Linked DNA regions of Drosophila melanogaster. The protein of the gene in region 1 interacts with the protein of each later gene in a pairwise test. Each region holds a gene or a part of one and is shown on either strand. Other genes may lie near its edges.

What was found.
Region 2: the proteins of CG12229 (region 1) and inaC interact in a two-hybrid assay, tested with the Drosophila melanogaster proteins (one large-scale study listed by BioGRID).

Annotation. Positions count from the first base shown.
Region 1 is NT_037436.4:17,433,799-17,438,497, reverse strand, and holds CG12229 (uncharacterized protein), read left to right. Parts: upstream 1-2,066; 5' UTR 2,067-2,120; coding exon of another isoform or gene 2,121-2,174; 5' UTR 2,175-2,250; coding exon 2,251-3,966; 3' UTR 3,967-4,026; downstream 4,027-4,699. Other genes in the region: CG32176 (uncharacterized protein), read right to left, coding at 640-891, 955-1,985, 2,121-2,174, 4,042-4,104, 4,165-4,309, 4,361-4,561.
Region 2 is NT_033778.4:16,896,376-16,902,122, forward strand, and holds inaC (inactivation no afterpotential C), read left to right. Parts: upstream 1-2,159; 5' UTR 2,160-2,269; coding exon 2,270-2,547; intron 2,548-2,708; coding exon 2,709-2,740; intron 2,741-2,794; coding exon 2,795-2,989; intron 2,990-3,049; coding exon 3,050-3,178; intron 3,179-3,239; coding exon 3,240-3,396; intron 3,397-3,456; coding exon 3,457-3,685; intron 3,686-3,739; coding exon 3,740-4,137; intron 4,138-4,200; coding exon 4,201-4,402; intron 4,403-4,461; coding exon 4,462-4,650; intron 4,651-4,707; coding exon 4,708-4,848; intron 4,849-4,909; coding exon 4,910-5,062; 3' UTR 5,063-5,200; downstream 5,201-5,747. UniProt on the Drosophila melanogaster protein: This is a calcium-activated, phospholipid-dependent, serine- and threonine-specific enzyme. This isozyme is a negative regulator of the visual transduction cascade and has been shown to be required for photoreceptor cell inactivation and light adaptation.

The DNA.
Region 1 (4,699 bases):
GAATCCCTTACATGTATAGAAAAACGGGTGGGAAGCCGAAACTGGGTTAAACCAAAACCCTTCCATTTAAATGCGTACCCAATGATTTTTTAGCTTGTTTATGACAAGTAATATCAATGCACAAGCGTAACCTTCGTGCGGCTCGTTTAACTGCCTATTCCAGGCTGCTCAGCTCACGCAAACTCTTCTTAAACAAAAAAGCACAGTTATCGCATTTTCTTTTAAACTACAAAACATAGCTGAAAACTACAAATAAACATGTCGACGCATCGAATACATAAATAAATCTTTTTAAGTAATATATATGAATTCAATTTAAATAAATACTAAATCCAAAAACTGCGTTACACGGCTTTTTCAACCCTTACACGGCTTGTTACTCAAACTAAAAACGATGGCTTAAAATTATATTTATAAAAAGCAACTACTTCTACACAACGTATACTTACTCTACACGAATAGAGTATCGAAAAGACGAATAAGAAATTAAATATCCGCTTAGCACGATATATTCAAATTTTTTGTTGCCTTCCGCCCCCGAGGACAGCAAATTTTTATTTGACTTTTTATATGCCATATAAACTAGGGCCGTGCGTCAGTACGCGACTTTTCAATAAATCCCGCCCTTAGCGGCTAAACTTATTTATCCCCCTTGCTACTGTTTGAAGTTTTACGCTGTCGGTGCTGCAGAAGCTCCTGGTATTGCTCTATGGATCCGTCTTCATGCTTGGAAGTAAATGAATCCGGCTTTTCAACCTTGGCCTGCTCCTCGCCGGCGGTGACTTTGGTGCGCTTCGATTTCTTGAGCTTGTCACGGACGCGTTTTCCCAAACGCGATTCGGCCAGCACCTGGCTGACCTTGGAGCTCTTCATGTAGCGTGAACGCCAGGACTACAAACAAAAGGATTATTGTGTTGAAAAAAAGGTACTGTTTTGAGGAGCATTTAAAAATACCTCGGAGTCTGCCTGCTGTAGTTTGTCGCGTTCATCCTCGCTTGTGTCCAGGGATATGACATCGTTGTCCAGTTCCTCAGGATCCTGCATCTTCTCCTTTTTCTCGCTTTTAATGCTTACCCAAGGTGAATCGTCATCCTTCGTCATTTCCTCAATCATTTCTAGATCCCCACCTATTGAAATGACGTCGTCGTTTTGATCTTCGTCGTCAAGGGCAGTTGGCTCGGCTGCACTCGGCTTCTTTGGCTCTGCAGGGGGATTAGCTGGGAGAGCTTCTTCCGACGGTGGTTCCTTATCCCCTGTTTTATCTAGCTTATCAGACGTATCCGATACTTCTGGCTTATTACTTTCCAGTTCTTTCGAAATAGCTGCTGCTTCTGACTCTGTTGGCTCATCTGGATTGGCTGGGTCAACTACCTTAGCTGGCTCTTCGGGTTCATCGCGCACTTCTCCCTCCTCTGGCTCGCTCTCAACGACTGGGGCTGGTGGGTCCGATTCGACTTGCTTAGTTGTAGTTGTTTCAGTTGTCTTCTTTTTGGTGGCCTCATCATCCGTACTGTCGCTGATCAGCAGTGTTTCGGGTTCCGTTTGTATAGGTATCACATCTGGTGAGGCTGAACGTGATTTGGAACGTGGCAGTTTGTTTAAATCGTTAGATGCAACCAAAGTTTCGGATGAAGTAGTAGATGTTGGAGGTTTGACTTCCTTTTCTGGCGACTTTGAAGTCCGCCTATAGTTTCTTTTGATCTTGATTCTTTTGCGGGGCGCTTCCTGCTCCTTGCTGCTGCTATCAGGCTGGGATGGAGATGTTGGTCTAGCTGATTCCTGCGATTTGCGCTTGCTCGAATCCGTTTTTTTAGTGCTGCGTTTATCCTTTTCCTTTCGCTGTACTTTCTCCACTGGTACTTCGTCAATATCATCATCTGACTTGACCTCTATTTTGGTGATTGGCTCCATTGCCAGTTGGGAGCGGATGGCCCTGGCACGTGCCTGAAGTTCCAACAGTTCCAGCACGCTCATTTGACCACCCGCTGTGGGAGAAAAGAATACCTTAGTAACCTGAACAAATTTGCCGTCAAACGGGCGCACAGTCTCAGATGGCTGTTGTTATCATACTTTCGGTCGATTTCGATTAGTTTTTATACATTCGTAAAGTTTGTACTTACACTCTTTGTTTTCATTCCCATTGTTCGTTTTCTTGGATCTAAGCTTCTTCTTGGCTGAAAATCAGACAAGATTGACACAGATTGCATTACAAATTGTGCTAAAGTATACATAAATTAACTGCACGCCAGGATGCCGATCAACCAGAAAGAAGTAACGCCGCAACTAGACAGTCAGACAGGTGAGGATCAGGGGGAGGAGGAGGAGCAGCCGGAAGACGAGAATCGTCTGGAGAAGTTTACGGTGCGTCTTAATGGACAACATGACCTGGAGCAGCGTTTAAAGGATTTCAAAGCGGCATGCGAGGCTCACGAGAAGCACGCCAGACGGCGAAAACGGAAGAGATACTATCATTTGGGTCTTGTGGCCAAGCTGGTGACGGAAACCACTCACGACGAGCTGCGACGTATGCTGGAAAATGGAACCTACACCTTTCACGTGGATACGGTGGGCAACAAGCCCGATGAACTGAAAGCCATTTTGGACACCATGAACATTGCGATATCGGCGCATTCTGCAGAGAGGGAACTACGTCTGACAACTGGCTTGGCTCTGGAGATTAACGGCGAGTGCTGTCGCGTTGGGAGACTGAGGAACAACTGCACCGTGATGCTGGCACGAGGTGGGGTGGTCACACTCACCACGGATGAGTCCTACCGCTACAAAGGCTTTAAAGAAATAGTGTACGTAATCAATCTGCGGTGTTATCTCGCCTCCGTTCAGTTGGGCGATATTGTGATGATCGGACGTGAAGTTAGAGGTAAGGTGGTGAAGACCCTGCGGGAAGCACTAACCGTGATGATCATAGATGCCGGTCTGGTAGCCTCCTACGACTTTATAGAGCTTCCTAGACAGTGCCACGCTCTCGATCCGGACCTATATCCCGATCTGTACATGAAGGACCTTGAGATGGCCGCGTCTTTGAATGCCAACTATGTGGTTCTGCCCAAGATACGATGCAAGAGCTTTCTTCGTGCCGTGCGGCAGACCTTGAACTCGGACTTCAACCTTAAGTTGATCGGAATGATAGATTTCGAGTATGTGCGAAGTAACATGCTTGATTTGCTAGGCATCATTAAGCTTGTGGACTACATTTGGATACCCGACATGTTCAACGTAAACTGTTGCGTATATAACTACATTATGGAGGACGTGCTTCCGATTTCGCAGTGCCAGAAGAAGCCAGTCATTGGCACTGTTCCGCTGGAGCGTTGCAGTGATTTTAAGCGATTTGAGTTGCACGATTTCCTGTGGAAGGTCGACGCTATTCACATCCAAAAAAGTCCATGGTGCAACAAATATCCGCTGATAGTCAAAAAGCTGATGCCCATAAAAGATTATCGTGTTGGCGCGGTCCAGAATAAGATGGTACTGAAGAGCATCCTAACCTCATACCAGACCATTGTGAATTTTATTATCCGCACAATTAGCTCGATTGAGTGTCAAGCCATATTTTTGTTCACCACTTGCGAGACCGCCAGCGTGGCCCTTTCGCGTATTGAGATCTATTGCCCAGTATATGTGATGGTGCCGCTGGAGGAGACAGATGATGCGGAAACCATTACCTGCAAGGTGGAGCTCGCTCGTGCGCTTCATTTGCGCCGTAACATGCACCCGGTTCTTTACACCAAGGATCTCAACGAGTGCAGCTACAGTCCGATTGAGTTTGGAGTGGACTTTATGAGGAAGAAGGGCTGCTTGGAGGTTGGAGACTTTGTAGTTACCCTGGAGGTGGGCAAAGAGGATAAGGATAACGTGGTCATCGGCATAGGAGAGGATGTTTGCATCCTGCGGGCATTTTACGTGTCGCCGCTCTTTGCCTGCGAGAAGTTTAAGTACGGTGGATAACTTTACGGCGTGCAGTTGTGCAGATTACACAGATAATAAACTCTAAATTAAATGTATCTTATGCCACCAACTCACTTTTTCGGGATTCCTGACCTCCGATGTCGCTGTCGGATGATATCTCCTCTAGCGAGATGTGTTCTGAAATGAGACTTTATAATGAATGGTGGGTTTATAGGGCAAGGAAGTGATTCAACATACCTTCTTTGTGCTCCACATCGGAATCTTCGGAGCTTTCAGTGTCTGTGGGACATTTGGTGTTTTCTATTATGGATTTTAGCCGCTTCGTAGACAAGCAGAGTAACTCCTCCAGACAAAGTTCCTCGATTTCGTCTAGTGGCGTTTTCTGCGTGAAATTATTGATAAATAGCTTTTTATAAAAAGAACTATAACACACCTTTAGAAACTCTGGGGCTAGGTTCAAAATGGTTTTCGGTTTTAAGGTCCCAAATATCTGTTTCACCAATTCCAGGCGGTCGTCTATGTAATGGGACATGGGATGCAGCTTTCGTTCCTCCTCGATCTTCTCCTTCTTAATGCTAATGGGCTTGGGGATTTGGTCGCCCTTGCTGGATTTTTTCGCCTTCAAGCCACTCATTTTATCCAATTTGTTGTCAAAATAAAAACCAAGTAATTTCGGTCTTTCGGGCAGCGTTGCCACTACTATTTATACCTTGTGGACAGTGGGACGAAGGCAACAATTTTGTGGGATTAGTGTGAATGGCTCTATTTTAAA
Region 2 (5,747 bases), on another chromosome or scaffold:
CAGAAAATAAGTCAACGTATGCTAAACAATCGGGCTATCTAAAATCAAACTTATAATTGTAAAATTAGTGATTGCCAGTTGGTGATCTCTTTACCTTTATTAAAGCCATTTCTTCAACTATAACTACAATCCAAATGCTTTTGGCTAGTAACGATCTTAAATGCCATGGTCCAAAGGTCATTATACAGCTAGTAACTCACGACAGGTGCGCTGCAGATCAATAGGTGTTAAGGGCGCAGGTCAAAAACAAGACGGTCGGCTAACAAGTAGCCAAGCGGAATTGCCAAATGTTGAAATGGCGAACAACAGAATAAGGAAAACAACAAAGCCTTGGCCAAAAGCAAACGAAGCCAGAGAAAAGTAATGCAAAGTAAAGTCAGAGTAAATAACCTGGAAGTAAAGCTAAACAAAAATGTGTTATACGCTGAGAGGCGGCTCTCTGGCTCTTTGCGGCTTGGCCTGCTTTTGTGAAATGGCCAAGAGGGAAAAATGGAGGGGAAAATTGTTTGGCGACGCCATGGAAATGATGACGTAAATTGAAAGCCAAAGCTGCCACGGCAACGAAATCTATTTGCAATTCCCTCTGCTCGCCGAAACCCCCTTGTCAATGCCTTTCAACCGACAGGTGTGCAGTTCTGTAGTTCTGGGCAATCTGCGAGTGCATATTTGTCGACTCACTGAGTGCACTTCTGAGATACAGATACGCGTGCCGCTGCAGATACTTAGATACTTTGACTTGGACCTGCTTTAATGGCATTTTTCCCCGACAAAGGTCCTACATTTCCGCTTTAATGCATTTTCCAACCCATTTCATCGCTGCTTTCGGTAGCGTTTTTAGTTGTTTCAGCTTGGATTTCAGCTAACCGCTTTTATTTTGTATTTTGTTTGCCTTGCCAGCCAGCGTGTCCTTCTGTGTCCTGTGTGCACTTTGTGCTCAATTCTGCGTTTTCTATTTCTATTTTTAGCCCTGCACTGAAAGCCAGCTGGCTTGCAGGGGCGGCGCTTAAATGGGGGGTTCTTTCACGGAAAACGTGCCCTGCCAGCAATTGCATAAATTAATCAAAACTGCCACACAGTATAAATACTCAATCGACAATAGTCACACATACACACACACACACACATAGAAGCTTTCGCACATCACCATTTTCCGAAACCCCTTCGCCCACTTTTCCAATTTTATTGCATTGACGTCACAGCTGCAGTTGTCCGGAGCAATGGCTCCGATGATGATTATGTTTGTCTTCTGGCCAGGTAAGCACCTTCTTGACCTTTCCCAAGCTGTTTACACTTATCGCTGGTAAGGGCCCAAAGACGAGAGTTCTTGGCTTTCACTCTTCGGTCCTCCGTTCGATTGACGGGACGTCGTTGAGTGCTTTTTCCTGGGGGACAATTGCGATGGGGGCTAACTGCCGAACTAACTGAATCAGCGTGGATAAGTGCTGATTACCCAGGCATAGAGCAAATGGTTGCATGGCAACTTGTGTAAGATCTATAGGGACTAGTAGTAAGGATGCTTTGGACATGACATTCATTGTTATGAAATGGTTAAAAGCATTAAATTTGACTTTTAAAATGCGCACACATATATTAAGTACCTAGAAATTGACAGAAATTAATCATACAAAGTCTCAAATATTACACAATTGTTTAACACCGATTTACGCTAACAAAGGCACAATTTAATTGTGGTAAATAGTTCCACAAATGTCCGATTTTAAATAATTAAAAAAACATGCAATAAAGAGGCTATAAAATATTATTCACTTTGATATGTGCATAATTAACGTTTAATATTCGTGTGTTTACTCACACATATTTTATTTTCTTTTAGCTGCTTTACATGTGCAGAAATAATTTTAAATCAGAAGGGTATTTTTCTGAAACATTTCTCTTATGGTTTTTTTTTGATATGTATGAGCAGTATTATGTTGTATTTATATTACATTTTTTATTCAGTCTACACAAATATAATGAGATATGGATAAGGAGGTTTCTATAAGCTAGGAACAAATACATATTTGGAAAATTTATGAATGAAATTACGTCTTATGCACTATTGCATAAGTCCAAACTGTCGCCCGTTTGCATCACTCTGTGTCATTTTCTTGCCTTCAACTTTGTGTGTGCACTTTGTTGGCTTCCAAGTTGCTTCTTTTAGGGTCTTCACCTGACCGACCGGGTCAGTTTCTAGACGGGCTTGAAACCGTACGGTCTGAGTCAGCTTTTTCTCTTCACTAGCTATCCAATTCCCTGACATTATCTTTTAATGGCTGCGGCTGCTGTTGCCACACCGGGGGCCACTGTGCTCCCTCCCTCGGTGCCCAGTGCCGCTCCAGGGGCCAAGGCTCCAGCGGCTGGAGCTGGCAAAGGTCCAGGAAATCTACTGGAGATCACTGGCGAAGCAAATATCGTCAACTATATGAAGAATCGTCTAAGGAAGGGTGCGATGAAGCGAAAGGGTCTCGAAATGGTCAATGGTCATCGTTTCGGAGTTAGATTCTTTAAGAATCCAACCTACTGCGGTCATTGCAAGGATTTCATCTGGTGAGAAATTTCGTTTTCGGTTTTTGCTGGCATCTCAGCGTTCCCATCGTTAATTTAATTAGTGCCTTCGTTGCTGACACACTTTTCGTTGTTTTTTCTATATTTTTTTCGCTGTTCTTCCGTTTCGCATTGTTGCATTCGCGGATTCGTGCCGGGATTAGGGGCTTTGGCAAGCAAGGTTTTCAGTGCGAGGGTAGGTAGAAATGTTCACAATTTAAAAAATCTTTTAAAATATTTGCATACGCAGAATGCCGCTTCAACATTCACCAGAAGTGCTGTAAATTTGTGGTGTTCAAATGTCCTGGCAAGGACACGGACTTCGATGCCGACTGCGCTAAGGTGAAGCACGGCTGGATTTCCACCACCTACACCACACCGACATTCTGCGACGAGTGCGGACTGCTGCTCCATGGAGTCGCCCATCAGGGCGTCAAGTGCGAGAGTAAATTCCTGAATAAACTCGAGTCCTATTGCTTTCAAGCTATTAACCCAAATATTTCAGATTGCAACCTAAATGTGCATCACGCCTGCCAGGAGACAGTGCCACCGATGTGTGGTGCGGACATCAGCGAGGTGAGGGGTAAACTACTGCTATACGTCGAGCTTAAGGGCAATAACTTGAAAGTTGATAGTAAGTTATTACTTAAAGTTTATATGCCCATATAAAGATTAATGTTTCTTTCATACTGCAGTTAAGGAGGCAGCTAACCTCATTCCCATGGATACCAACGGGTTTAGCGATCCCTATATTGCAGTGCAAATGCATCCGGACCGTTCGGGGCGCACCAAAAAGAAGACCAAGACCATTCAGAAAAACCTCAATCCAGTGTTCAACGAGACTTTTACTTTGTAATAGTTGAAAACTAATCCTCTAAATAGACCTCTTTACCATATTTTCTTTAATCCTAGTGAGTTGCAGCCGCAGGACCGTGACAAGCGTTTGCTCATCGAGGTTTGGGATTGGGATCGAACTTCTCGCAATGATTTCATGGGATCGTTCTCGTTCAGCCTGGAGGAACTGCAAAAGGAGCCAGTTGATGGCTGGTATAAGTTTCTGTCGCAAGTGGAGGGTGAACATTATAACATACCCTGTGTGGATGCCTTTAATGATATAGCTCGCTTAAGGGATGAAGTTAGGGTAAGCGGATGTCCTCACCAAGTTTGCCACATATTTAATATTCCTGATTTTCAGCACGATCGTCGTCCGAATGAAAAGCGTCGCATGGACAACAAGGATATGCCGCATAATATGAGCAAACGCGATATGATTCGAGCTGCTGATTTCAACTTTGTTAAAGTTATTGGCAAGGGATCCTTTGGCAAAGTCCTGCTGGCCGAGCGTCGTGGCACGGATGAGCTGTATGCCGTGAAGGTCCTGCGAAAGGATGTCATTATCCAAACGGACGATATGGAGCTGCCAATGAATGAGAAGAAAATTCTAGCCCTATCCGGACGTCCTCCTTTCCTCGTCTCCATGCACTCATGTTTCCAGACTATGGACCGATTATTCTTCGTAATGGAGTACTGTAAGGGTGGAGATCTTATGTACCATATGCAGCAGTATGGAAGGTTCAAGGAGTCTGTGGCTATGTGAGTACAAATATTTATATTCAAGTACCATATTTTGAAATCTTCTATATATTATGTGCTTAGTTTTTACGCTGTGGAAGTGGCTATTGCTCTGTTTTTCCTCCACGAGCGTGATATTATCTATAGAGATCTAAAGCTGGACAACATTTTGCTGGATGGTGAGGGGCATGTAAAGCTGGTCGACTTTGGATTGAGCAAAGAGGGCGTTACCGAGCGGCAGACCACACGAACCTTTTGTGGTACTCCAAATTATATGGCTCCCGAAGTAAGTAAATCAGCCGAAAAAAATAAGTGTAAAAATAATCAGCTTAAAAATAATTTAAGATTGTTAGCTACGATCCGTATTCCATCGCCGCTGATTGGTGGTCTTTTGGTGTATTGCTTTTCGAATTCATGGCAGGTCAGGCTCCATTCGAAGGAGATGATGAAACTACTGTCTTTAGGAACATAAAGGACAAGAAGGCGGTGTTTCCAAAGCATTTCAGCGTGGAGGCCATGGATATAATAACGAGCGTAAGTGTTGGATTTCAAAAACATATGAATCTAATGGTATAGATTTGTATTCCAAAGTTCCTGACCAAAAAGCCCAACAATAGATTGGGTGCAGGCCGCTATGCCAGACAGGAGATTACCACGCATCCTTTCTTCCGGAATGTGGACTGGGATAAGGCAGAGGCATGCGAAATGGAGCCACCTATTAAGCCAATGATTGTAAGCTAAAACAGGAGCCCCACTAGGAAATCATTTTATTGTAATCTTGGGTACATTTCAGAAACATCGCAAGGATATAAGCAACTTTGATGATGCCTTTACCAAGGAGAAGACGGACTTAACTCCAACGGACAAGCTTTTTATGATGAATTTGGACCAGAACGATTTTATCGGATTTTCTTTCATGAATCCCGAGTTTATAACCATCATTTAAAATGGTCTAAAAAAAAGCTTTGAGAAAAGTTTATAGGCTTCTTCGAAAAACTAGGCTTTTGCAAGTTAATTTACCGAAATTTATTTATTGTATCCTTCGCTAAAAGCCATCTAAATGTTCATTAAAGCTTTAACGCTTAAAGCTCTGATATTTAGTGGGTGGATTTTTCTTTTGGCTTTCTCTCTTTTAAGAGACAGCTTTTCACCACTAACATTAACATTTCCTCTGAAGCCCAGATAGTAAAAGAAAACAGAGAAAGTTCCGGACCAGCAGCTGATTGCTTTCTCTTTCTCTCTTTTCGGAAGGGGAAATCCTTTTGTGGAAACTCACCACTCGAGAGCACCTGAATTAGTTACGCATACGCCGCGTGTGCTCCACTCAAGGAAACCCTGACAGGAAGTTTCAAGATTGCCAGTGGGCTAACTAGCCAACTTTGGTTAAAATCTAAACTCATCAACAGGCTTGAAAGTTTTTAGTTATGTATGTCGAATTTCAAAGTTGCTCACAAGGCCACAACTTATTGCCGTTCATGTGGGTATGATGAAAATTCTTCGAACATTTTTGCCCAAATCCATCTTGCGGGTCGAGCGTAAAATTCAACGGGGTGAAAAGCGGTTTAACGGGTCGCCAAATAGTTTTCCTGTGCCAGGGCAAATATGTCTTATGACACATTTTAATATGAAAT